Linked DNA regions of Macaca mulatta. The protein of the gene in region 2 binds, or shares a complex with, the protein of the main gene of each other region. Links are inferred from orthologs where the notes say so. Each region holds a gene or a part of one and is shown on either strand. Other genes may lie near its edges. The genes, in order: CRNKL1, SNRPD2, BUD13, CWC15, CWC22, SRRM2 and LSM6.

Region 1 (3,500 bases), on a different chromosome or scaffold from region 2:
GATTTGACCTCTTCACTCTAGAATGTGGGACTGTTTTAAAGCATGAATTCTGTTATATATGAAATTCTGAACGTTACCAGAGGACTTACGGGTAATAGTCAAAATATTTTTTATTAGGGACAAGCATAGACTATTTTAAAGTATCAGTTAGTTGATTGTAACCTTCTGTAGTGGATTTCTTATTCCTCAAGGATTCCAGGATGTAATTTCTCTTAAATATGAACGAAATGAATAACCAGTTTAGTACAAGACTTAAAATAGACCAAGGGTGCTGTCATTTTTAGTCATTTGCCCTTTGACTTGACCCTTTTTGCCTTCTTCCAGACTTTTGAAGATAACATAAGAAAAAACAGGACTGTAATTAGTAACTGGATAAAATACGCACAATGGGAAGAAAGCCTAAAGGAGATTCAGAGGTAAAATTGCTGAAAGTGTAGTTTTGTGTATAATGATTCATAGGTTAACAGATACCAAAAAGAAAAGAAGAAAAAGTTAAAGCACAGATAAAAGATTGTGCCTCGGGTAGAAATTGTCAACTATGGTTCCATGAAACCCTAGGGTTCCCTTGAGGGCCTCAGGAGCACTGGGGTAGAATAGTCCCGGAGGGCGGGGCGGGAGACACTTTACAGATTGATCTTGTCAGCTGTAGCTAAAGTAGCACAATTTCATCTGCTTTCTATATATTGAGATTTTTTTTTTTTTTAATGTTTAGCTGAAAACCAATGGCCAAAAAAATAAAAATTGCAATCTGGCCCTTCCTGTTGTCTCGCTTTCTGCATTCTCCCCTCATACCTCCTTCCCCCGCTGCGCCTGTGTACGTGCCACTCCCTGAATATATCATGTCTCCTTATTGTGAGGCTTGGCTGTTCTCCTCGCCTGGAATGAGCACCCCCTCCACACCAACCTTAGTTTCCTGGTAAATTGGAACTTGCCTCGAGTTCTTGTTTCTAGAGTTACCTACTACTTAGCCTTTTCCACCAGACATTTTCATTTCTTCCTCTCTGCTTCCTGTGCAGATCTTGACTATAACATAAATCACATTGCATTATAATTGCATGCATGTCTTTCTATAAGACTTTGTAAGGTACTTGAGAGCATTATATCTTTTCATCATCTTATGCCCAGAACCTGGCTCGTGGTAGACACCTAATAAAACATCAGGGCATTCCAGATAGTGTGAAATAACCGCTGCATGTGTTGTGTGCACTACTTTTGATGCCCTGCAAATCTTGCTTCTTAAGGGCTCGATCCATATACGAGCGTGCTTTAGATGTAGACTATCGAAATATTACACTCTGGCTGAAATATGCAGAAATGGAGATGAAGAATCGCCAAGTCAACCATGCTCGAAATATCTGGGACCGGGCCATAACAACGCTGCCTCGAGTCAATCAGTTCTGGTAAGTTTCTGATAAAACAGCCTTTTGTAGCCTAGAAAAGTTCCACATTTTCTGTATTTATTTTATTTACATGATGATAGTTTAATTTTACATCCTACTTTTTCTTTAAACATAAATGCTTTTTAATGTCCCATAGTCTGTTAAGTCATAATTGTGATGTTCTACAGCTATGTAATCAAAACTAAAATTTTGGTTGCAATCTTTTGTTCATAAGCTTCTTGTTGAACTAGGCAACTTTTAATAAAAAATCTTTTTTTCCAATGGTTCACCCTTTTTCAGATTTATATTTCAATAACAAAACATGTTCGATTTAACCTTTAAGAAAGATAAAATCTTAAATCTTCCTCCCATTCAACAATGGGAGAACTAAACCACAGCAGATATTTTCGGGTGATTTTGTTAAAGGTACAAGTACACATACATGGAGGAAATGTTGGGAAACATTGCCGGTGCCCGGCAGGTGTTTGAGCGCTGGATGGAGTGGCAGCCTGAGGAGCAAGCCTGGCACTCCTACATCAACTTTGAACTGAGATACAAAGAGGTGGATCGGGCCCGCACCATTTATGAGCGATATATCCTTTGGACGAGAACTGAGTGGTGCCATGATTGTCCTGGGTGCTGCTGCTCCTGTAGAGGTGTCTCATGGTCAGGACACACAGTCATTGACATCAGACTAGAAGTCAAGAATGCCAGTTTATCAGCTTCCCTATGTTTTGTAGGGAAAGAGATTGGTCAGAATGAAAATTTGTGATCTGGGTAATTAGTCTTTTCTAGTGAGAGTTTGGGTTTATTTTATTGTAGTGCTGAAAACTAATGTTTCCTCATGGAAAATGATATTCCTGGGAGATTGTTTCCAGGACATCAAGGAGATGCCAAAATCGGTGATGCTTAAGTCCCTGATATAAAATGATGTAGTATTTGCATGTAACGTATGCATAGCCCCCCATATAATTGAAATAATCTCTAGATTACTTATACCTAATGTAATGTGAATGTTATGTAAATAATTGTTATTCTGTGTATTTTAAGGTATAATAACCAAAAAAACTACATGTTCAGTATAGAAGCACTTTTTTCTCATGAATACTTTATCTCGGGTTGGTTGAATCTACAGATATGGAACCCATGGCTGGAGGACTAACTGTACTAAGGTTCTGGCTGCCCTTGCCAGTCCTGTTTTTCTAAGGTTGGTGTTGGTCATTACTACCGTTACTGGAGTTCATCAAAGGTTTACTGTTTATTGGCTGTGTGGCTCCAGTGAGTCATTTAACTCCTTTGAGTCTTCGTGTCCTCTTCTTAAAAACAAGAATAAAAACACCTTTGTTGGGCTGTTGTGAAGATTAAATGATACACATGAAAGCACTTTTGAAACTGAAGTACAGTCATTCCTCATTATTCACAGATTCCATATTTGCAAAATCACATATTTGCTAAAATTTATTTGTAACCCCAAAAATCAGTAATTGTGGCACTTTCACAGTCATTTGTGGACATGCACACAGCATGAAGTCCAGCAAGGCGAGGCTCTGCCTTCTGGTCTTAACCTCGTATAACCATGCCCAGAGCTTGGAGACAGGAAGGGCCAGTGCCATGTAGTGCAAGGAGCTCCGGCCCTGGGGCCAGTTGGGGAGTTTGAATCTGTCAGTGGGGCAGCCTCAGTCCAATCGCTTAACATTTCTGAATCACTTTTCTTACAAAATAATGAAGATAGAATCTGCTAGGATGAGTTCTTTTTAGGATTTAAGATGATCATGAATGTGAGATTGTATATATACATGTTTCCCCTAGGCACAGTGGTTCAATACTCAATAATTAAGTGTTTGCAGTGACTACATAGAACATAACTACCACAAATAATGAGAATCAACTTTACAATGCAGTATTAAGATCTTTTTATTTTTTTACTCTTCTCTCTTTAGGTGACAGTGTTAAGATCTTAATTATGTCTAGTAATTTTAATATTATTAGTTTGACAAAAGCTTTTATAGTACTTGCTATGTGCCAGGCATTATTCTAAGTACTTTACAAATATTGTGGTTTAATCCTCATAACAACCTTGCAGTGTAGGAACTTCTCCATCCTACAGATGAGGGAGCTGAG
Region 2 (2,054 bases):
TCAGCACTTCGGGAGGTCGAGGCGGGTGGATCACGAGGTCAGGAAATCAAGACCATCCTGGCCAACGTGGTGAAACCCACTGTCTACTAAAAATACAAAAATTAGCTGGGCGTGGAGGTGGCGCGCGCCTGTAGTCCCAGCTACTCAGGAGGCTGAGGCAGGAGAATCGCTTGAACCCAGGAGGCAGAGGTTGCAGTGAGCTGAGATCGTGCCTCTGCACTCTAGCCTGGCAACAGAGCAAGACTCTGTCTCAAAAAAAAAAAAAAAAGAAAAGAAAAAGAAAATGTCTGTTAGGCATCCAGCTGGTGATACTCAGAAGGCCAAACAGGACGGATGTGATGGGACAAGGCTGGGGAGACATTGAGGCTGAGGCCCTGACCACCCATCCTCACAGCTCCAGCCTCTCTCACTTGTGGGTTCCATGTTTATCCATGCAGGAGCCTCCTCAACAAGCCCAAGAGTGAGATGACCCCAGAGGAGCTGCAGAAGCGAGAGGAGGAGGAATTTAACACGGGTCCACTCTCTGTGCTCACTCAGTCAGTCAAGAACAACACCCAAGTGCTCATCAACTGTCGCAACAATAAGAAACTCCTGGGCCGTGTGAAGGCCTTCGATAGGTGAGTGCTGGGTCCTGGGAGGTGTTCTGTGCAGGCCTAGAGAGGCTGCCCTAGCTCCAGTCTGAAGAGCTCAAAGACAGGTTTCTCAGACGCCTGGGGTGTATGGCCCAGGGTGGTGGCTCATGCCTGTAATTCCAGCACTTTGGGAGGCCAAGGCGGGTGGATCACCTGAGGTCAGGAGTTCGAGACTAGCCTGGCTAACATGGTGAAACGGCATCTCTATTAAAAATATAAAAACCGGGCGTGGTGGTGCACACCTGTATTCACAGCTACTCAGGAGGCCGAGGCACGAGAATTGCCTGAACCCAGGAGGCAGAGGTTGCGGCGAGCTGAAATCGCACCACTGCACTCCAGCCTGGGCAACAGAGCGACACTCTGTCTCAAAAAAAAAAAAGAAAAAAAAAGATAATATTCAACGACCTTGTGAGGAAGGTACTGTGATTGTCTTCCCTCTTAAAGATGAACAAACTGGCACAGAGAGGTGCAGTCCTTTGCCTCAGCCTCAACCTAAGGACTGGCAGAATTGGCCTTGGCAGCTTGGTCATCCAGCCTAGCACCTGCATCCTTCCCCAAGCCATGCTGCTGGAGGGGGCGAGCAGCAGGCAGCGCTGTCAGAGGCACCCCCCTCACACCCAGTGCCTCCCCTCCCTGTTCCCCACCAGGCACTGCAACATGGTGCTGGAGAACGTGAAGGAGATGTGGACTGAGGTCCCTAAGAGCGGCAAGGGCAAGAAGAAATCCAAGCCAGTCAACAAAGACCGCTACATCTCCAAGATGTTCCTGCGTGGGGACTCGGTCATCGTGGTCCTGCGGAACCCGCTCATCGCCGGCAAGTAGGGGCTGCCTATCCATCGACAGAACTCACTCTCTCGTCCTATGAAGACCATTGCCATTGGTGTTGAGAATAATAAAGCTCTGTGGTTTTTTTCTAGTGGTATGTGTTCCCAGAGCCTTGTGAGTGGGGTGGATTCAGGAGGGCTTGGGGGAGGCAGCTAATATCAAATTGAATGCTGGGACCAGGACCCGTGAGCAAGTGGAGAGGCCCTGGCTCTGCCCCATCGAGGCCTCACTTTCCCCCTCCGCAAAGCAAACAGGTTGGATGGAAATGAGCACCCAGTTGTGGCACTGGAGAATATTTTAGTTCTCCTGCTTTAATCTTTCTGAGCTTCGCCTTGTCACTCTGTTGCTCTCTTCTCTGCCTCTTAAAATGAATTGGCCTCGCTTGACCAAAATATCTTTTGGGGCCAGGCATGGTGGCTCACGCCTGTAATCCCAGTAGTTTGGGAGGCTGAGGCGGGCAAATCACCTGACATCGGGAATTCAAGACCAGCCTGGCCAACATGGTGAAATGCTGTCTCTACTAAAAATACAAAGATTGGCCAGGCGCAGTGGCTCACGCCTGTAATCCCAGCACTTTGGGAGGCCAAGGCGGGTGGA
Region 3 (4,245 bases), on a different chromosome or scaffold from region 2:
GGAATGAATGTACAACATACTGACTATAGCTAATAATTCTGTATTGTTTACTTGAAGCTTGCTAAGACAAATTTAAGTGCCCCCCACCAAACTAGTACATAAATAAGTCTAGTGAAGGATGTTTTAATTAATTTGATTTTGGTAATCATTACACAATGTATAATTATATCCAATCATCACATTGTACACCTTGAATATATATAATTTTTGTCAAATAACCTTAATAAAGCTGGGAAGAAAACGATAAAAAAGTGACAATCTAACATATGATAAGGTAAAAAGATATTTCAAGAAATTTGGATGACCTCTTGCACCCCACTTTGCTAGCCTCTACTCCCAAGAGTCATGTTCTGGCTATGTGAAGTTGAGCAACTTCTTAAATCTTGCCAAGCTTCAGTTCTTATCTGTAAAATGTGATATTGAAACGATTTGAGAATTGTGAGGGTTAAATGAGATAATTCAGGTAAAGCTCTAAAACCCCTGCCAAGAATAAAGTCTTTTCTTCCCCCCCAAAACTTGAGTATTAGAATTCATTCTCTCTGGTTTCTCTCTTTTGCTATGCTAAAAATAGATCCAGGTCCTTTTCATTGTCAAGATGTTAGTTTCCTTCAAAAGATAACTGCGAGCTACTTGTAATATAACACCAGAAGAGTTATACAGGTCTTAGAAACTACGTTTTTCATAGTAATTATGTTGGTTTGCACTTCCTGGCTTCCCTTCTCAGACGGTAGGTACCTGGAAGCCTAGTGGAGCAGATTCTCCCCACTTGAAGATACTTATAAAAATAACGAACATAGTTCCGATGACCATACGCCCACCATATGCCCAACACTGCTCTGCGCACTTCACACAGTAGTGTTATCTCAGCCTGTGACCATTCCGAGTTAGGTGCCGGGATTCTCCCCGCTTTGTGATAACTTGCCCGAGGTAGTACAGCTAGCCAGCTATGGAACCAGCGCCTGTAGTCCCAGCTACTCGGGAGGCTGAGGCAGGAGAGTGGCGAGAACCCGGGAGGCGGAGCTTGCAGTGAGCTGAGATCCGGCCACTGCACTTCAGCCTGGGCGGCAGAGCGAGACTCCGTCTCAAAAAAAAAAAAAAAAAAAAAAACAAACTCGGCTACGTTGCAGCCTGTGGCCCTCCACTTTCTTGCCCGTGCTTTGCAGTTTAGGTAACCTCTGGGGGCGGGGTCTTTTGGGTCAGGTTGTGGCCTCACAGAACAGCGCTTGCTGCGGTTGGATGGATGGGTGGGTGGGTGGATGAAGAGAAGAAACCTGGTGGCGTCGTCCCAGGGCTGTGGAGCGCCCCGAAGGTGAGCGCATCCCCCGCGAGGGCACCTGCCAGCCGCGCAGTTCTCAGCACTCTCCGCCACTTCCGGCCCTGGCCCCGCCCCCTCGGGTGGCTGGCGTCCGTTACGCGTTGAGGAATTTTGTCCCCAGCGCCGACCCGTCTCTGCCCTCGCCGCTGCCATGGCGGCAGCTCCGCCGCTTTCCAAGGCCGAGTATCTGAAGCGTTACTTGTCCGGGGCAGATGCCGGCGTCGACCGGGGGTCTGAGTCCGGTCGCAAGCGTCGCAAAAAGCGGCCGAAGCCTGGCGGGGCCGGCGGCAAGGGGTGAGTTGGTACCGGCCGGGGCGGGGCCTGCAACGACTCGCCACCCCTCACCCTTCCCAACTCCGCCCTCGGTCGCCTGGTGACTCCTTCCCTCTTGGCGGGTCTCCCGGCTTCTCCGCCGACCCCTGCTCATGCCCAGGGCCCCACTCACATCGCTTGAGGCCCCGCATTGCCTCTGCCGCCCCGCTTACACCTCGAGCCTCTGAGCAGTAGCGTCAGTGCGTTAGAGCCGGGCTGTAACTTTGATTACTCTTTTCCCGCCTTGGTAGACTTCCGTCCTCTCCCATGGAGAATGAATATTGCGCCCCGAGAATAATGGAGCGGATTCAAAGCCTCTGTGCTTGAATCTTTAGGGCCCGGTACCTGCCTGTGGGGATTCCCAAATCCCAAGGACTTGGTTCTGAATCAGAGACCTTGGATCACCTCCTGTTACTCTTAGTAATAGTCCTACTAACAAGAGAAGTTAACATTTACATAATTATACTTTTCTTGCCAGGCAACATTATAAGAAATTTAAACATAAGTTTGTTTAAGCCTTACAACAGTACCATGAACTGGGTATTATTTTCAAATGGGAAAACTTTGTGGCCCAATATAGTGGGCCCTACCAAATCGTTTTCCACCCAGAACCACAGAATGTGACATTTAGAAATAGGGTCTTTGGAGATGTAATCAGTTAAGATGAAGTCATACTTGATTAAGGTGGGTGCCAAATACAAAATGACTGTTTTCCTTTTAAAAAGAGGGAAGTATGGATACAGACACAGCAACAAAGGAAAAACGACCATGTCTAGATGAAGGCTGAGATTGGATTGGATTTATGTTGCCAAAAGCCAAGGTATGCCTGGGGCTACCAGAAGCTGGGAGAGGCAAGGAAAGATCCTTCCCTACCGACTTTGCAGGGAGGATGGCCTTGCAGACACCTGGATTTCAGATTGCTAGCTTCCAGAACTGTGAGAGTTTCTGTTGTTTTATGCCACGCAATTTTGTGGTACTTTGTTACAGTAACCCTAAGGCACTAAGATACCCAGTGAAGTCACATTGTTCTAAAGAACTAGTCCATGTTGTTTTCTGGTTTGGTGCTTGCCTTATTATTGTCCTCGTCTTTCTGCTTCGCTGACTTGTGTGGATCCTTTGGAGGCAGTGCCATGTGATGAAAGTAGCTTGAGTGTTGGAGCAGCACTGGTCAGAGTTCGAATCCTAGCTGTGCCACTTTATAGGCTGTGTACCCTTGGGCAAAGTGTTTCATCTCACTGAACTGCAGTTTCCTTATCTTTAAAATGGGAATAATACTGAATAATAATGCTTTTATGAAGTGGTGGTTGTGATTAGAGGGATTGCATTAAGTGACCCTGGCTTTTTGAATAACTTCACATCATGGCAGTCATGGTTATTATTGGGGCTCAACTATAGTTTATCCATGTAACAAGCATTTATTGAATACACTGTATTCCAGTTACTGAGGATGCCTCTGTGAACAAAAAGAAACATAGTCCCTGTTCTTGTGGAGCTTATAGTTTAGTGGGAATACAGGCTTTAAGCAACTAATTACACAACTAATTGGTGTATTTTCTTTATGATAAATGCAATGAAAGTATTCCAAGAGTTTTTAACAAGAGTTCTTAGTCTTTTTTTTTTTTTTTTTTTTTTGAGACAGAGTCTCACTCTGTCCCCCAGGCTGGAGTGCAGTGGCATGATCTCAGCTCACTGCAAGCTCCAACTACAGGGTTCACGCCATTCTCCTGCCTCAGCCTCCCAAGTAGCTGGGACTACAGGCACCCGCCACCACACCTGGCTAATTTTTTGTATTTTTAGTAGAGACAGGGTTTCACCATGTTAGCCAGGTTGGTCTCGATCTCCTGACCTCATGATCCACCTGCCTCAGCCTCCAAGTGTTGGGATTACAGGCGTGAGCCACTGGGCCCGGCCGGGTCCGTGGTCTTGAGTGAGTGTGAGATAGTGGGGGAATCCGGGAAGCAGTCAAGAAAAGTTTGCCAGACTGGGTGCGATGGCTCTCGCCTGTAATCCCAGCACTTTGGGAGGCCGAGGCGGGCGGATCATGAGGTCAGGAGATCAAGACCATCCTGGCTAACACAGTGAAACCCCATCTGTACTAAAAAAATACAAAAAATTAGCCGGGCATAGTGGCAGGCGCCTGTAGTCCCAGCTACTCGGGAGGCTGAGGCAGGAGAATGGCACGATCCCGGGAGGCGGAGCTTGCAGTGAGCTGAGATTGTGCCACTGCACTCCAACCTGGGCGACAGAGCAAGACTCCGTCTCAAAAAAAAAAAAAAAAAAAGTTTGCCAAAGGAAGTTAAATTTGTGTTAGGACCTGAAAAATGAGGAAGAGTTTCCTGGAATGAGGAAGAGTTTCCTAGCACTTTGGGAGGCCAAGGCGGGTGGATTGCTTGCATATAGGAGTTTGGGACCAGTCTGGGCAACATGGTTAAACCCTGTTTCTACAAAAAATTAAAAAAAAAAAAAGTCAGGCACAGTGGCACATGCCTGTAGTCTCAGCTACTTGGGAGACTGAGTGGAGAGAATAACTTAACCCCAGGAAGTCAAAGCTGCAGGGAGCCATGATGGTGCCCCTGCACTCCAGCCTGGGCAACAGTGTGAGACCCTGTCTCAAAAAA
Region 4 (4,192 bases), on a different chromosome or scaffold from region 2:
CATTAAGAAATGTGATTTTTATCCTAACTGCAGTGAAATTTTACACAGGATAGTAACACCATTTGATTAATTTTAAAAGATCACTCTCTTGGCTATATGCAGCATTGACTGTAGGATAAAAGATGACGCAGGAAGATACAATAGGAAACAATTACAATCCAGGTAGGAGATGGTGTTGGCCAGGACAAGGGTAATGGCAGTAGAATAAAATTTCGGGTAAGTTTTAAAAGTAGAATTGGTAAGACCTGTAAATGAACCGTATGTGAAAAGTGAAAGAAAAGGAATTTAAGTAGGCACTCTGGGATTTTGGTTTGAGTAACTAGTATGATGATCGTGTCCTTTAGTGAGACGTGTAAGACTGGAGGAGGGATACCTTTAGTAAGAAAAATCAAGATTTTCATCTTGAACTCTATGAGTGAAAGGGCTTTTTCTGCTTTTCTTTCTTCATTTAAAAGTTGCAAAGAATTTAGAGGTAAGAAAGCATTTAAATATTCAACTTTGTGAGTTCTTTATATTTTAAACTAAGTTGGGGAAGTTGAATTTTCATTTGTTTAACAAATATTAATTGAGCAGCTACTATATGTCAAGGTCTATGTGATGAGATACTAAGATTAGCTAAACAATCAAGATCTCTGTTCTCAGGATTTTTTTTTATGGAAGGGAGGAGACAGGATTGGTGGGTTTTTGGTTTTTGGGTTTTCTCCTTTTCGTTCTTATTAAAACTTAACACTTAAGTAGCCATCTTAGTAATTACATCTTGTGCTCCTGGCAGTTGGGCCCACCGTTCTAAACGCTGTCGTAAATATTGACATCTCCCCTCCCACTAAAACTAACGTTTTTTAAATAAAAAATTTTAGCAAACATTACGAATACAACCTTTGCTTTGAAGTGTTAATATTTTTGCAGGAATGTACCTTTGTAAAGATCGTGGTTGCCCCGTACATATTTGTTCTTTCTTCATATCCAATTAAATGAAAACACTAGTTTTTCCGAAGCCCAACTCTCTAGGTTTGTTGGTTCTAGCTCAGGAGAAAGGATGGAAGCAGGAGTCGTTGGATTTAAACAGTTTGGTGTAATCCTTTTCCACGCTCTCTCCCGCTAGCCGGGGACGTGGTGTCGGCTACCCGGGGCTTTCCGTCCACGCAGTACCGGAATGAAGGAGTCTGGGAGGGGGTCGGGGACGGAAAAGACGGAAGAGACATTAAGTAATTGGTTCTTGAAGGTATAAAATGATATTTAGGGTCTACTCTAAGGCACTGATTTCAAACGCCCGCCCCCTGGGCCGTTTCGGCCCCGCCCCTTAGTGCCGTTACGCCGACTTCCACTTCGGCCACTGCGGATTGGTCGTTGCTTCCGCCTCCGAAGCGCTTGGATTTTGCTTCCGGGTCGTAGGCGCTAGCCCTGGGCGCAGAGGTTTCTGGGAGCCCGGAGTCGTAATGGCGTCTGTATGATCTTCGGAGATTGCTGCATCGGACCTCGGCCAGTGTGAGCGGCAGGAGGATAGGTTATCTTCCTCATCCCGGTGGGACGGGAAAGGGCAGTTGGGGTCGGAGTCGGCGGCAGAGTGCAGAGTGCGGGCGGTGGAGGACCTAGAGCAGCGGGCTAGGGGCGAAACGGAGTGCCTGTCAGGCGCGTCCGGAGCTCTCGGGCCGCAGAGGAGATCGCAGCATAAAAGGCAGCGCGCCTACCGCGTAAAGCGAACCCCAGGTCCTCCTTTCACTACCCCTCGCACCCCTGCGGCGCTGGGCACGGGTTAAGGGGCAACGAGTTTCTGGTTATAGCCAAAGACTAGCTCACGAGAGGCCGGAGTGATAATTCCGTTAGTGTGTGGGAAGGGGCGGACTCCCAGCTCCAGATAACCCCGTTTCTTCTTTGTATACATGTCTCTTACTCTTTTTGAAAATTAGGAGAAAGCACTCCCCCCCCCCAAAAAAATCCTCCCAGTTCGCCCACCCTCCCCACACACTTGCTTTTCCGACACTAACAGGGTTTTAATGACTGCATCTGCTAGGCAGTATTCTTGTGACTGCTCCAAGCAGAAAGTAACTTAAGGAATGGGTCCCTGATTTTTGTCATCAGAATCCTCTGGGGCTGAGGTTCCTGTTTTGTTTTTGTTTTTGTTTTTTTTGAACAGTCCTTAAGTTATAACCCACAAACGATCTGATTTATAATATGATGCCTGTTGTAGGAGAAAATTGGCTCAACAAAAGGTTAAGAATTTTTTTCTATGTACCTGTCATTGAAGTTTAACACACTTTCCTTAGTAACTTTTTTCTCAGACACTTAGTAACTTTGTCAGTGATATTTTTTGTTTGTTTTTAGCTTTTGTTTCTACTAGCCTATTTGCTATTGTGTGAAGTTTAGATAAAATGCAAACCTTAGAGAGTCTGGTAGAGTAAGGTTGAGTTGGAAATTTTTAAAACTTAGTCATGGTGGTACTGTATTTTTCAAGGCTTTTGACATGTCAAGTGTCATAATTCTTATAGTAATCCTATGAGGAATATCTCCATTCCACGGATGACAGAAAGTTAAGCCAGGTGACTTGCTCAAGCCCATATAGTCAGAAGGAGAATAGGGATGCAAACTCAGATCTTCATGACAGAATTTTTTGTACTAAGACAAGCCTGAGAAGCCCTATTCGTTGTATGGCCTAAGCCTCATAATTTGTTTTCCTGAAAACTTTTGTTTAAGAAGATTAAGCAGGTTTAGGGGAATGAGTTTTAGAATTTATTTCACTAGTATGGATATTAATACTCTGTAAAATGAGTGTTTGTATTGTTGTAAATAACTTGATTATATTTTTCTTCAAAGCATAAAAGATGACAACAGCAGCCAGGCCAACCTTTGAACCTGCAAGAGGTGGAAGGGGAAAAGGAGAAGGTGATTTGAGCCAACTTTCAAAGCAGTATTCAAGCAGAGACCTACCCTCTCACACAAAGATAAAATACAGGTAGTAAGACTTTCTTTTTTTTCTTTCTTTTTTTTTTTTGTTGAGACAGAGTCTCGCTTTGTCGCCCAGACTGGAGTGCAGTGGCCGGATCTCAGCCCACTGCAAGCTCCACCTCCTGGGTTCACGCCATTCTCCTGCCTCAGCCTCCCGAGTAGCTGGGACTACAGACGCCGGCCACCTGCCCCGGCTAGGTTTTTGTATTTTTTAGTAGAGACGGGGTTTCACCGTGTTAGCCAGGATGGTCTCGATCTCCTGACCTTGTGATCTGCCCATCTCGGCCTCCCAAAGTGCTGGGATTACAGGCTTGAGCCACCGCGCCCAGCCTCTTTTTTTTCTTGTTCACAAAACAAGACCAAATCTGTTAAATGGCATGGTCATGATATAGTAGTATGTTCGAGTTATGTCACTTATCTATTATCATAGGATTAGAATGCAATAGGATGTTTAACACTAAAATTCTGCCCTGTGGTTTTAAAATGCAAAATTCCTACTAACCAGAAATTTTCGTATGTAGATACAACAATAAATAACAGAAATAATAATGCCTCAGAGAGATTATGCACTATCAGCACCAGTCAATATATTAAAAGTATTACTGTTAAGTTCTGAGTTGATAATACCAATAAAAATTAAAGACATTTTAATCACGTAAAGCCTTATTATAGGAAAATGCGTGATTGAATTTGGACTTCTTGAAATATTGGGAACATCACAAGAGTGGCTGTTAGTAACTTTCAGATTAGATTATGATCTTATCTACTTCCCTTTTTTATGCTTGAAGGACAAAGTCTCATTCCTGAATTGTCTTCCATTACCACAGTCGTGTGTGTGTGTATGTGTGTGTGTGTTTAAGTACCATTTTTGCCCTGGTTTGTTTCTACTTTAGACAAACTACTCAGGATGCCCCTGAAGAGGTTCGTAACCGTGACTTCAGGAGAGAGTTGGAAGAAAGAGAGAGAGCTGCTGCAAGAGAGAAAAACAGAGATCGTCCAACCCGAGGTACCAACACTATCCAAGACATTTATCTCTAAAATTATGTTGTTGATAGTTTTTCTTTTATGTAGCAACTGGAAAATATTAACCATTTGTTTGCTTTTACAGATTGATGTGAGCTGTAATACTTTCTTAAGTCATTAGAGATAACAATAACAAATATTTACCAAAGGCTTATTTGCCCAGGCACTGTGGATGTGATTTCACTGTGGATAATGCTTTCAGTGTGGGCTCCTCGTGCCCACAGGT
Region 5 (3,500 bases), on a different chromosome or scaffold from region 2:
GCTGGTCTTTATGTTAAAAGCAAACAAATGACAAAAACTAAAATTATATTTTGCCCAATGGTGCTCTGTTAGCCTGATAAAAGATTTTACAAACCTAACCGACTCTACATTTCTATTATAATCAGAGAGGTTTTAATACAAACTTTTGGGGTTTAATACAAAGGTAAATATTTATTGCTTCCACAGCAATAAATACTTCTCCAGTAAAATTACAACTCAAGAGAAATAAGCCCATGAAATTATTATGTAAATAGGCCTGAGTGTTAGCTTTAGGAGGAAAATAATACAAATGTGAAAATAGTAACAGTAATAATAGCTATCATTGTCTGTGATAATACACAACACTGTATTTTATATATCCTTCCATAGAAAGGTAACATTTAGTCTTCCATCAAACAAGTAACTTGCTACAGGTCACTCAGCTAGTAATGTCAAAGACAAATTACAAATCAAAACCTGTCCAAAGTTAGTGCTTACAGTATACCAATGATATACAAATGAAAATGATCAATTTATTTTATCAGAGAGGCACCAATACTATAATTCATCTTCCCAGAAGGATATCAACCTGACCTCAAGAAACAATAAAGTATAGCACTTTACAATAAAGTATACCACTTAATTGAATATTAAACTGGGTGGCACAGACTGTAAGTGGTAGAGAAGCTAAATAAAGGCTACTACTAATCTATGAATATTTCTTAAGATGGGTGAGATGTAAGGGTTGCATAGTTTAAAGGGAAAGAGGAAAGGAACAATGGGGTCAGTAATTCAGAATGAAGTAAAAAATCATGGGCAAGTACCAGGAAAAAAATAATGCCCAAGGAAATAGCTAAGAGAATAACTTTATAAGAGCAGAGATTTCATTAGGCAAGTATCAACGATCTCTAAATATTTCCTATCAGTATTACATAACTACTTAAATTGCTTCTACTTATCCAAATTAATTTTATAAAATTTTACATACCTTTCTTAATAGCTTTGTACTTCTCTTCATTCTCCATAAAATTAGGATCCATCTTGAAAACATCTAAAAAAAATTTTAAAGTTAATGTTTATTTTCTATATTTACATTTGTTGGTATACCTCTTTCCACCTAACATGCCCCAGACTTACTAAGAACATCTTCTGGGTTATAGTCATCCTCCAGAGGGAGCATATGAGTGAATTGATCATCTTCTTCCACCAAATCAAGACCTTCTAGGATAATGGGGTGGTCCTTGAATCCATCTTTCCGTACAGCAAACATCACTTCAATCATATATTGAACTCTTTTGTCAATTTCAGACTCATGAAGAATGTTTCGAAGGCGTTCAAATATAGCTAAAGGTTAACAGAAAGAAAAGACAATAAAATAAGCAATAAATATTACAATAAACAAAAACTTAACATCAAATTAAAAATGTACACTTACCATTGATTCCTCTTGGTGACACTTGTGTTAATTTGAGGCCACATTCCTTAAGAAAACCAATAGCTACTTCAACACTATCATCTGTTGGTCTTTCCAGGAGTAAAGTGAGCATCTCTAAGCATAAAACTTCATGTGCCTTAAATAGAATACATATAGATGGAAGAAAGAAAATGCTTTTACATACATTAAAATATTTTTATGATTTCTAAAAATTAGTAAATCTGTTACAATAAATATATTGCACATATGATGGGCAAAGTTTTATGAAGTACATGGAAATACTCCAAATACGGGATACAATTTTTCTATCACTTTTATTATCTATCTACTAAGAATTTTCAGATGACTGTTCCAAAAATTTTAATTTTCTATGCTGAATACAACTATCTGAATTATCTTTAGAAGAAATATTCTTAGCCATTATGTACGGAAAGTGTCATAGATAAAATATGTTAAAAATCATATACTACTTTCTAATAAGATAATTGTTTTCATAATTACTACATGAGAAATAGTAATATGATTTATAGTACCCTTCTTCATGACCATAATTCTTTATATACATTTCCCAATTCATTCTATCAGCAACTCTATTAGACGCAAATAGTCCTTAAGTTACACGAATACTAATTTCATCACAAAATATCTTAATAACTTCTGGAACAAAACAGTTTTGAATATTCCATCTTTTTAAAAAAAAATTATATCAAACTATTTCTACTGGCCATGTTCAAAAACTGACATTTATAAACAACACCAGGAAGAGAGGGAACAAAATTCTACTGAGAAGCTTTGCTATGAGAAGAAAACGAACTACAAAGAATGTTTAAACCACCACACATACACCTTTCTAAAGCCAGACAATGATTTGAGATGGTGAGGAAATAAGTCTAAATCTCAACTCAGGAGATACCTTCTTCCAGTTGTGCACAACATCAAAGACACCCGCTACTTCTTTTTACTAGGGGAGGAGGGGTGTCAAACAGTCTTCTATCAGTGACAAGAAAATACTGCCCTTTACCACAGTTGAGAAGATGCAAAACATTTATCATATCAAGTGTTTTATGGCAATGCCAACAATCTCTAGCCTAAGTGTAATACACATTTAAAAATGGAAATATATCTCTGTGGTTACAGATATGAAATTAAGTTTCCTTGGTCTTAAGTAGCAAGTTATCACCGTAATAATATGACTAATTAGGTCAAAATCTAAAAGATTTCTAAGAGTGAAAGAATCTTCATATAAATAAGAGTCAAAACATTTAGTATTAGTGAAATAAGACTAGGCAGGATTTTAAAATTCTTCCTGTTGTACATGATATTAAACTGGAAATGATAATATATATCTGAAGGAAACTTTTGAGTATGAGCAAGAACAATTTTACCACTTTCATGGTTAAACAGAAGCTAAATCAAAACCATCAAATAATGAATATAAAATAAACACAAACTGAATAATAGCATGATAAAATTACTTGCATTTGAAACAGATTAAAATTGATCAACTCTATTCTACAAAGTGATTCTAAACATATATGACTATACCTATGTGGTGGCAAGGAATAGAGGTTTTTGTAAAATAGCAGGTATTTATTAGATTCTCATGAACACCAGGGAATGAAGTGGAGGAGACACCAACTTTATTGTTTTATAAAAGTGAACAGAATGGTTCTTCAAAGGAATGGTTTGCAGTCAAGTAACCATGTATAGTATTAAGTCAGATTAATCTGATAAAATATCTAAAAGTGTTTTGATTAGCATCAAAGTGTTATGTTACAGAATATTAAATACGACCAGGCGCGGAGGCTCACGCCTGTAATCCCAGCACTTTGGGAGGCCAAGGTGGGCGGATCATGAAGTCAGGAAATCCAGACCATTCTGGCTAACACGGTGAAACCCCATCTCTATTAAAAATACAAAAAAAAAAACTAGCCCGGCGTGGTGGCGGGCAACTGTGGTCCTAGCTACTCAGGAGGCTGAGGCAGGAGAATGGCGTGAACCCGGGAGGCGGAACTTGCAGTGAACCAAGATTGTGCCACTGCACTCCAGCCTGGGTGACAGAGCAAGACTCTGTCTCAAAAAAAGA
Region 6 (4,300 bases), on a different chromosome or scaffold from region 2:
ATTCGAGAACAGCCTGGGCAAGACCCTGCCTCTTAAAATCACGCCCAAATCGTAGTATCAAATATAAATCTTTGCACTCAAACGGACAGTTCATTACGTGGCACCGCGTCCTGTTGCGGATCAAGGCCACTTGAGTTGGTTAGGACAGCTAAGCCCACGTCTTGGGCTGCTCGCCAGCGGTGGGGCTAGATATGACCTTGTGCCCGAGCAGCCCAGCGTCTTACAACTCTGCTGTGAGGGACGGGGGCTGATTATCAGGTCCAGAATCACGAGTTTAGAAACATTAACAGGAAGTACGGTACCGAAAAGTGGAAAACTTTAAGGTGCTTATTATTTTTCTCCTGACTTGTTCCTGCATGTGCCGCTCCACGGGTATCACGTCCCGGGGGGACCCTGGCCTGGCTGCCCTACCGGAAGCGAAGCGAACTCCACCCCAGGGGCAGCCGTCTGGCCTCAGTCCAGTCTACATCGGGAGAGCGTGGCCCATGCCACAGGCAGCTGGTTGGGCCCCTGGCACAAGTCTAGGGCCTGCAGCCAGGCTCGGGGGCTCCGGGGGTGCCCGCTGGCTGGGGTCTGAGGCGGCTTCTCTCGGGTACGAGAAGGCCGACTGCTGTGCAGCCGCGGGCTCGCTCGGGAAACCCACACTTACACAAAAGCGGCAGCACCACTGTGCCTAGGCTATCGACTCCCAACATGGGGAGACAAAATGGCCGCCGCGCCCAGAGCCGAAATTACATCCGGGCTCCGCGACACGTACGAACCACAACTCCCAGAATGCTCTGCCTCGACGGCGGGAGGCGAGACGCGCTCGGGCCCCGCTTAGGTGGCGCTAGGCCCTGTGGCTCCTCCCTGCAGCGGAAGGCCTCCGAATACGCGGCGTCTTAGGTCGATTCCTCCATTCTTCGTTGCACTGGCCAACGGGACGCTTAGTCTTTTGGCAACGGGGTGAAACCTGCCTTGTGCCTGAAGAAACGATACTTCCCGTTGTGGTTTCGGCGCCTGCGCAAAAGGCTGCGGGACGCACTCCAGTTCCCGGCAAGCCCCGCGACGCGCGTTTGCGTGCTGACGCACGGAGTTAGTCGTGCTGACGTGCATCGCGGCCCAGGCGGGGTGCGAGTGGCGCAGTCGGAGCCCGCTGCGGCCCCTGAGGAAGCCAGGAGGCGTCGGCGTCGGCTGAGGCGGGCGGACCGGCGAGGCGAGGCGGCGGCCTCAGGCCCCGAGGGACTCGGGAGCTCGCGCAGCGGCGGCGGCAAGACCTCTCCCCCTCGGAGGCGGCGGGCGGAGGCGGCGGGTGAGAGGGTGAGGGAACCAGCGAGCCGGGTGGGGGAGGGGCGGCGGCCTCGGCGCGAGGCCAAAGCGCGCGGAGAACGGCCCAGGCCGCCGAGCTCTTCCGCGCGCACGCGCGCTCGCCGCCCTTCGCTGGCGCGGACACCTTCGCCTCCCTTCCCCCTTCCCGCCGTTCCTGTCGCGCGCGGGCTTCGACCCCCCCGTCCCTCCCCCATGACAACGGCGCTCGCAGCCGCCTGTACTGGGGTTCGCGAGCGCCCTTGGCGAGGGGGGAGCGCGCCGCCTCGGCTTCACTCCTCCCCACCACACGTGCGGCCGAGGGGCCTTCCCGCAGCTGCCGCTTTCGGCCCGTAAGTGGCGGGGAAGGGGCGGCGGCGGGGGACGTGCTCCCGGACCCTTGCCCCAGGCTCTCGATCTCTTGTTCTCGGGCTTCTCTTCAGCGTTGGGCTGCCCGTGCCAGGGGCCTCCCAGACTGCGGGACGCCGCGCAGCCCCCTCCCCCATTCCGCAAGGCCGAAAATAGGCCCCCGGCGCTGCGAGGAGGGCCTTGAACTCCGTGGGCCCGGTTTAAATGGTTTGGACTGTGCTATCAAGCCTTTGAGTTGTTAGTGGCGGGGAGAAACCCCAGATCTTAAAAATTGTGAAGAAAGTGAAGGCATTCAGTTTACATTTGTAAGGTAGACTGTTCCTTTTTTTCTTACACTTTTTTAACATTTCCTGAGAATTCGTGTTAAAACTAAGGAGGCTTCTGGAGACCTTCGTTGGGAAGAAAACGCCAGACTCGTATATAAGTTTTCTGGTTGGTTTCAGGCGTTATTTGGCACACAGCTCTTCTGAAGCTTGGTTTCCACTCGCCTTCAGTTAGGACGAATCTGGATCAAAATTTCAGAATGTTTTGTTGCCTTTCATCCTAAGTGCGTGGGCTTAGGGCTCTTCTAAAGCTACTATTTTAGCTTTCTGGGTTCTTTGTGTCCACTCAGCCGCGCTGGAGCGCCCCGGTGCTGAGCTGGCTGTGCTTCCTGAGGTCCATTTTCTTGGACAACCCTTGTGTCCCCTTTTGGTACCGTTTCCTTTTTTGCATATTTTAATGTTGAATTTAAGGATATCTTTCTACTTCCTTGTTAGCTTGGCACTCTGATAGTTTCCCAACAGAAAAGGGTCTTTTTGTCTTTCTTTGTACCTTTTATTTTCTGCTTTTACCTTGGTTAACTTTTGCATATCCGCTGTCTATGGCCCCCACTTTAAGAGTTTTATAAAATCGTTTGGTTTGGTGATTTGTGTGTGGTGTCGATGTTCCTACTTTCCGTGTCTTAGCACCCCCTTAGATGCTGTGGGGTCGTCGTCTTTTTTTGTGAGGTAGGGGTGGCTCATTCCCTAAAAGTTCTCCGAAACATTGTGACCTAATATCCTTTGCTTAGCACCTACTGGTTTTCCTTTTTTTTCTTTCTTTTTTTTTTTTTTGAGACGGAGTCTAGCTCTGTTGCCAGTCTGGAGTGCAGTGGCGCGATCTCAGCTCACTGCAACCCTCCGCCTCCCGGGTTCAAGCGATTCTTCTGCCTCAGCCTACGGAGTGGCTGGGATTACAGGCACGCGACGCCCCCCAGCTAATTTTTGTATTTTTAATAGAGACTGGGTTTCACCATGTTGGCCAGGCTAGTGTCAATCTCCTGACTTGGTAATCTGCCCACCTCGGCCTCCCAAAGTGCTGGCATTACAGGCGTGAGCCACCTTACTCGGCCTGGGTTTCCCTTCGGTTTTCCCTTCTTAGGGAGTGGGAGGATTTTTGTGTGAGGTGGTATGGAAGTGTGGGTGAATGGTTGAGCTGAAGAATTAATTGCAGGTCAAAGACATGCCTGCAAGGGAAGCAGAAATTTGGTGGGGTAGGGAGAGGCAAAGAAGGACCTAGTTTTAAACTGTGGGGAGGATTGGAACTAGAAGATGAAAATGAGGATGGGGGTGTAGAGAAATTGATTTTTTGAGTCATAATGTTTTTCATTTTTTCCTGGATTTTTGCTTGCCTTTTCCAGGTTTAGTTTCCTCTGTCACCTTCTACTTTCGATATTGGGTCTGCTACTGGGATTGGGTAGGGACCCATCCTTAGTCTAGGGTGAGGAGGTATGGGCTAGCACCCTTCTATATACTCTGTGTGCGTGCATGCACTAGTATATTTTTCCAAACATTTGTATGATGCTTCTTCATTCTGGAATTTTCTAAATGCATCCTTCCCTTTTATCCAGTTCTTTTACGTCTTTGATCACTCTCTCCACTTTGTCTATTCCATAGGGTTTTTTCTGGGTAGTTTTTCCTCATACGTGTATGTTCTAGGAAACTATCTTGGAGAGGATGAGGATGAGAAAGAGAGTATGTGTAGCCAAGGAATCTCACTAGAAAAGCTGGGACTTGAGAATTTTTCAGAGTCACATCAGGGTTGGGACTAGTTGAAAGGCTAGAACTTGGGACGAGGCATGGGGTTAACACAGGAAAGAAGGAAGCGGCAGGGCTGGGAGAAAAAAAACTAGGAAGTGCTATCCAGGGGATTGGTGGGGAAGGCCAACAGTTGGAGATTAATGAAAGTGGGGTGTAGAGAGGGTTTCTAGATAGATTTAGAGCAAGGAATATGGAGAAGGTATGGGAACGGTTGGAACAGAGACTGATTTGATGTGTTTAAATAGAGCAGAGTTGAAAGCAGATAATATTTGACAGCTGGCAAGACTTGGAGGAACTGCAAATTGTAGTAAATCCTATTGAGAGGAAAGAAATTGGAGGAATTGGAGGAATAAAAGATCAGGATGGTTGATAGGATCTTTAAATATTTGGAATCAAGGAAATGGCCCTTACCTGGGAGGTGAAGTGTATGAAGATTATCCAAGGTTCATGTGTGTTTCTGATGTGCGTGCTGACCTTTAGTTGGGGTGTGAGGCTGCACATTCTGAACCAAGTAGTCTGCTGTTCAGATACCTAGGGACTGTGTAGTTTATTTCGTATTCATATAGGGTGGTCTGAAATCCGTAGGT
Region 7 (4,202 bases), on a different chromosome or scaffold from region 2:
TAGCTCATGAAATAATTCAGGATGCCCACCCCGTGTGTCAAACTGGGCCCTTACCCAGCTACTGCCCTTGGAGAAGGCTGCAGCTGCTCTGCAGATGAACTAGGCCCTTAAAACTCCTCATGGCTCCCTACCCACCACGCTAGTGTTAACAGCTCAATTAGGGCTCTGTAGGAAAGGGAAAGAAGTTTGAATCAAAATTTTATTTTATTTTTTTTTTAATAATTTAAACAACCAGTAAGGAATGTGCAATTTGATGTCTTGCAAAGAAAGTTTTTAGGAACAGGCCTTTTTATCCTGTTATGTTTGTACTTTGCAAGTAATTATTTGATTTAAACAGTACTTTTCTTAAAATTTTTATTTATATTATATTTTATATTGCAAGAACTTCAAATACAGTCCTCTCAATAAATCAGTAACTGTTTGGTCTTTACCCAAACTGAGCTTTTATAGAAGGATATAAGGAAGTCTCTATTCTTTACCAAATCACATCCACTTGTTTTCTGTCCCTGATATCAATCAAAAGTTCATTTCTTCTGCCTTTAGCCAAAAGAAGGTTACAAGGGAGGAATTCTTTATCTCAGAAAAAAATTCTGCATCTTAGATTTTATAACACCTAATGGGGTTAAGGATCTGTGTTGGAAGATCTTATTGCTTTGTGTGTAGCGTTACAAACCATAAATAAAATTAAAGTAAGTTTTCAGCTGATGAGAGTAAAGGAATCAAGTCTTGGGGTAACAGTTCTCTTTTTTCCCCCTTCCAATCCCATTAATAGAAAGAGTGTTGAGAATTCATGCAAAATTCCAAACCAAGTTCCCATAGTAGCACTTAAATAATGTCTGCACACCATTTCCAATTGGAACAAGTTTTTAATGTAACACAATTAATGTCATTATAATTCGGAGTTACTTGAGTGATTTTAATTATTTTTTAATCAACATTGCCATGGAAACAGTCTCTTGCTAAAATGGCTTAAGTCTTCACACATTTAATAAATATCCAGAGGTAGATTTAAAGACTTGAGGTGTTTTATTTATTTATTTGCTTTAAACTATTCAAGGACGTTTCTGGGTACACAGTGCCGTTACTTAAACAGTAAATTCCAGTTTCCTATGACTTCAAGTTATTTTTTACACTTCTGCAAATAAATCCTGGACAAAAGATCACTTCTAGTTTCCTGGATTTTTGTTTTTGTTTTATATTATATTTGTTTTGTATTCAGATTTCTGTCAGAGGAACTCCAGTGCACCAATTTTGCTACTAGACAAAACAGGATTCTCGGATTTGCGCGCTTCGGCGCTGACAGGCTTTTCGGCCCCAGCGGGCTGCCGTAGCAGAGAAGAGCAGTGATTGGCCGAGGCAGAAAAGTGCCGCTGCCTCGGCGGTTTCGCTTTTGGCTGCGATCATCCGCGGAGGCCGGACTCGTGGGGCGCCTGGAGTGAGGGTTCTGGATCCCGCCCGCGAGGTGAGCCGCACGGCTGCGCGGGCCGATGACGGGGCCGGGCGTAGCCCCGGGTTCGACGCCCCAGTGTTCAGTCGCGCTGTGGAGCGGCGGCTGCAGCGGCCCTAGGCCGGGCGAGGCAGCCCCGGAAAGGGCCTGAGGGGAACGGGCTGGGGCTCCGGGAAGGGGCCGCTGAGTGGCAGCTTTCCGCGAAATGCCGCGTCCAAGCTCTCCGCTCACGGAATGGCCGGAGAGGTCTGATAGTGGGCGCCGGGACCGCCCTCAGCGAGGTGCTTAGACTGCGCAGAGAGTAGCGGCACCGTCCCGGCTCCCACCGAGTTGGCGTCCGAGACCAGTTGAGGTTGTTGAAGTTCCCCAGGGAGCCCCGAGGCTAATCCCAGGATTCGGCGGGAAAGCGGATCCCGAACCCAGGCCTAGGCTTCGCCAGTCTTCCAGGGCTTCAGGGAATTGCTAACCCTTCCCTACATCGGGGTGGCTGCGCCTGACCACAGGAATTAAGGACTCGACTCGCCTGTCTTACTGAGTTGTCAGGCCTAGGAACCCAATTGTATGGTCTTAAGTCCTATTGCCCGAGGTTTTCTGTGCGTTCGCGTGTCCGCGCGCGTGCATAGCAGGCGTTTTTAAGATGTGTAGCATTAGGATGAAGCGGATTACCCTACCCCACTGCTCTTAGTAATATGTGACTATTGTAGAAAATTGCAAACATGGAAGACTTTAGTGAAGAAATAGTATTCACAACCCTTTCACCTACAATCTTTTTCTCCTGTGTATGCTAGCTTCTACTTGAGCTAGGAGTGTACATGTTTAATCACTTAACAGTATAGTTTACCACTTCCATTTAAAAACTCTTCCTAAATATTATTCTAGTTTTGTATCTTCTTTTGATTGACTGTCCCTCATTGTGGATCGCAATGTAGGTCCCATAAATTATTCAGTCATTTCCCGATTGTGGGATATTATAGATTGTTTTTGAATTTTTGAATCTCTTAGCACCCCAGATAATACTTTGATAAACCTTTTCCCCCCTATTTTTTAGATTATTTCCTTGGACTAGATTCTCAGAAGTGAAATTATCAGATTAGATGCTTTCATCTGTAAGGCCTTTTTTAGGCCTTCGTACACATTGCTGCAGTGTTTTCCAAAAAAGTTTTTCAGGTGTTTGGCAATTTTACTTGCTTGAATATTGTACAGAAATCTTGAGAGGCTTATGTTTGTGGGTGTGTGTGTGTGTGTGTGTGTGTCACTGGAGTTAATGCGTTACTACCTGAATGTTAGGGCAGGAAGAGACTTAAGTGGTCATCTGGCATAACTCCCTTATTTTGCAGATGAGGAACCTGGGGCCATGAGAAGTGAAATGATGAGTTATCCAAGTCACACAGCTAATTAAGTAGCAGAGCTGGGATTAGAACTCAGGTTTCCTGCCTCCCAAGTGAGTACCCTGTGCTGCATCAGGCAGTCTCTCACTGAACTGTGGCATAGTAGATATTAGAATTTAAAAATTTGTTTACATCACCTGGATTATTCTCTCCTTTTAAAAGTGTACTAACAGATTAATGATCGGAGGGACCTGTAACACTGAGAAATTGGAAAGTGATTATTTTCATGGCTAAGACTAGAAATCCATTATTTAGAATGGCAACCCCTTCAAGATTTTGACAGTTGTTTTCAGGTTCCCTTTATGTTAGAATAAAACATCCCTGATTAATTATAATCTACACTCCATCATTTGGTTAGAATGTAGCTTTTGGTTATCATTTGCTGTACTTTGGAGATTTCTTTAAAACTCCTCACTTTAAAACCAAAGAACAATGTTGTTGGTGGTTTTTTTTTTTAGGGCTTATAGCGGAGATTCTCAGCTTCCATTGACATTTTGGGCTGGACAGTCCTTTGTTGTGGAGGGCGGTCCTGTTGTAAAATGTTTAGCAACATCCCTGGTCTCTACCCACTAGTATAGCAGTAGCACCACCTTCCTCAGTCTTGACAGTTCAGTGTCCCCAGATACTTCCAAATGTCCCTGAGCAGGGTGGGGTGGGGTTGGGGAAACTGCCCCTAGTTGAGAACCATTTGCTTAAATAAATTATCTGGAGAACTTCATAAAATGTAAAATACAGTGCTTTTACCTGAGTAGACTTCAGGAATCTGCATTTTAACAAGCATCTCTAGATTTGGAAACAGCTGGTTCTTGAATGACAGAAAGGGTTGTTTTCTCCGTCTTTGGTGGTCCTAATAGAGATTACTTGGTTAGTATTTGTTGAAGTACGTGCATGATCCTACTAGTCACTGTATCCATAGTTTGGGTTGGTGGGGGCTGGACAGGGATTTTGCTTGGCACTGGCCTTGAATGTCTCTTCCACAGACTTGGGCAGTGTGCTTAGGTACCAGGGATACCAAGTGAGTAGGATATTTCCCCTGTCCCCAAGGAGCTTAAAACTCACCATGGGAGACCTGTCAGCAAATGGAAAAATTACAAAGCAGCCTGATAAGGACCATGACCGAGAGTGGAAAGAGGTGCTCTGAGTGGACTCACTTCGCCTTTGGGAGAGAGGGAGAGAAGTAGCGCCTGCTGCTCAGGAAGGAGGGATTGGTATGAAGCCTTCACAAGACAGCGAGGCACTCCACTGTGTCAGAAGGGAGGACTTGGAGAGCTGTTCTTCTCCGTGTCTGATCGCCTCCTCAGACACTGATCTGTTAGTCTAGTGCTGCAGTTACTTGGATTGTAATGTTTCCTTGCAAGTTTTTGCTT

Evidence for each region.
Region 1: SNRPD2 (region 2) and CRNKL1 share a complex: the UniProt entries of both Homo sapiens proteins name them as parts of the minor spliceosome. The link is inferred for Macaca mulatta from reciprocal best matches to the Homo sapiens genes SNRPD2 and CRNKL1.
Region 3: SNRPD2 (region 2) and BUD13 share a complex: the UniProt entries of both Homo sapiens proteins name them as parts of the minor spliceosome. The link is inferred for Macaca mulatta from reciprocal best matches to the Homo sapiens genes SNRPD2 and BUD13.
Region 4: SNRPD2 (region 2) and CWC15 share a complex: the UniProt entries of both Homo sapiens proteins name them as parts of the minor spliceosome. The link is inferred for Macaca mulatta from reciprocal best matches to the Homo sapiens genes SNRPD2 and CWC15.
Region 5: SNRPD2 (region 2) and CWC22 share a complex: the UniProt entries of both Homo sapiens proteins name them as parts of the minor spliceosome. The link is inferred for Macaca mulatta from reciprocal best matches to the Homo sapiens genes SNRPD2 and CWC22.
Region 6: SNRPD2 (region 2) and SRRM2 share a complex: the UniProt entries of both Homo sapiens proteins name them as parts of the minor spliceosome. The link is inferred for Macaca mulatta from reciprocal best matches to the Homo sapiens genes SNRPD2 and SRRM2.
Region 7: SNRPD2 (region 2) and LSM6 share a complex: the UniProt entries of both Homo sapiens proteins name them as parts of the U4/U6-U5 tri-snRNP complex. The link is inferred for Macaca mulatta from reciprocal best matches to the Homo sapiens genes SNRPD2 and LSM6.

The regions. Positions count from the first base shown.
Region 1 is NC_133415.1:63,975,942-63,979,441, forward strand, and holds part of CRNKL1 (crooked neck-like protein 1), read left to right. Parts: intron 1-324; coding exon 325-416; intron 417-1,241; coding exon 1,242-1,400; intron 1,401-1,805; coding exon 1,806-1,972; intron 1,973-3,500. UniProt on the Homo sapiens protein: Involved in pre-mRNA splicing process. As a component of the minor spliceosome, involved in the splicing of U12-type introns in pre-mRNAs.
Region 2 is NC_133424.1:58,224,554-58,226,607, reverse strand, and holds the end of SNRPD2 (small nuclear ribonucleoprotein Sm D2), read left to right. Parts: intron 1-302; exon of another isoform or gene 303-437; coding exon 438-617; intron 618-1,253; coding exon of another isoform or gene 1,254-1,279; coding exon 1,280-1,454; 3' UTR 1,455-1,554; downstream 1,555-2,054. UniProt on the Homo sapiens protein: Plays a role in pre-mRNA splicing as a core component of the spliceosomal U1, U2, U4 and U5 small nuclear ribonucleoproteins (snRNPs), the building blocks of the spliceosome.
Region 3 is NC_133419.1:117,445,731-117,449,975, reverse strand, and holds the start of BUD13 (BUD13 homolog), read left to right. Parts: upstream 1-1,445; 5' UTR 1,446-1,466; coding exon 1,467-1,609; intron 1,610-4,245. UniProt on the Homo sapiens protein: Involved in pre-mRNA splicing as component of the activated spliceosome. As a component of the minor spliceosome, involved in the splicing of U12-type introns in pre-mRNAs.
Region 4 is NC_133419.1:95,762,736-95,766,927, reverse strand, and holds the start of CWC15 (spliceosome-associated protein CWC15 homolog), read left to right. Parts: upstream 1-1,392; 5' UTR 1,393-1,485; exon of another isoform or gene 1,486-1,504; intron 1,505-2,811; 5' UTR 2,812-2,819; coding exon 2,820-2,950; intron 2,951-3,836; coding exon 3,837-3,949; intron 3,950-4,192. UniProt on the Homo sapiens protein: Involved in pre-mRNA splicing as component of the spliceosome. Component of the PRP19-CDC5L complex that forms an integral part of the spliceosome and is required for activating pre-mRNA splicing.
Region 5 is NC_133417.1:84,904,553-84,908,052, forward strand, and holds part of CWC22 (pre-mRNA-splicing factor CWC22 homolog), read right to left. Parts: intron 1,551-3,500; coding exon 1,415-1,550; intron 1,324-1,414; coding exon 1,117-1,323; intron 1,031-1,116; coding exon 968-1,030; intron 1-967. UniProt on the Homo sapiens protein: Required for pre-mRNA splicing as component of the spliceosome. As a component of the minor spliceosome, involved in the splicing of U12-type introns in pre-mRNAs. Promotes exon-junction complex (EJC) assembly.
Region 6 is NC_133425.1:4,063,404-4,067,703, reverse strand, and holds the start of SRRM2 (serine/arginine repetitive matrix protein 2), read left to right. Parts: upstream 1-1,500; coding exon 1,501-1,637; intron 1,638-4,300. Other genes in the region: uncharacterized protein LOC144338337, read right to left, coding at 927-1,502. UniProt on the Homo sapiens protein: Required for pre-mRNA splicing as component of the spliceosome. As a component of the minor spliceosome, involved in the splicing of U12-type introns in pre-mRNAs.
Region 7 is NC_133410.1:154,723,737-154,727,938, forward strand, and holds the start of LSM6 (U6 snRNA-associated Sm-like protein LSm6), read left to right. Parts: upstream 1-1,402; 5' UTR 1,403-1,462; intron 1,463-2,784; exon of another isoform or gene 2,785-2,888; intron 2,889-4,202. UniProt on the Homo sapiens protein: Plays a role in pre-mRNA splicing as component of the U4/U6-U5 tri-snRNP complex that is involved in spliceosome assembly, and as component of the precatalytic spliceosome (spliceosome B complex).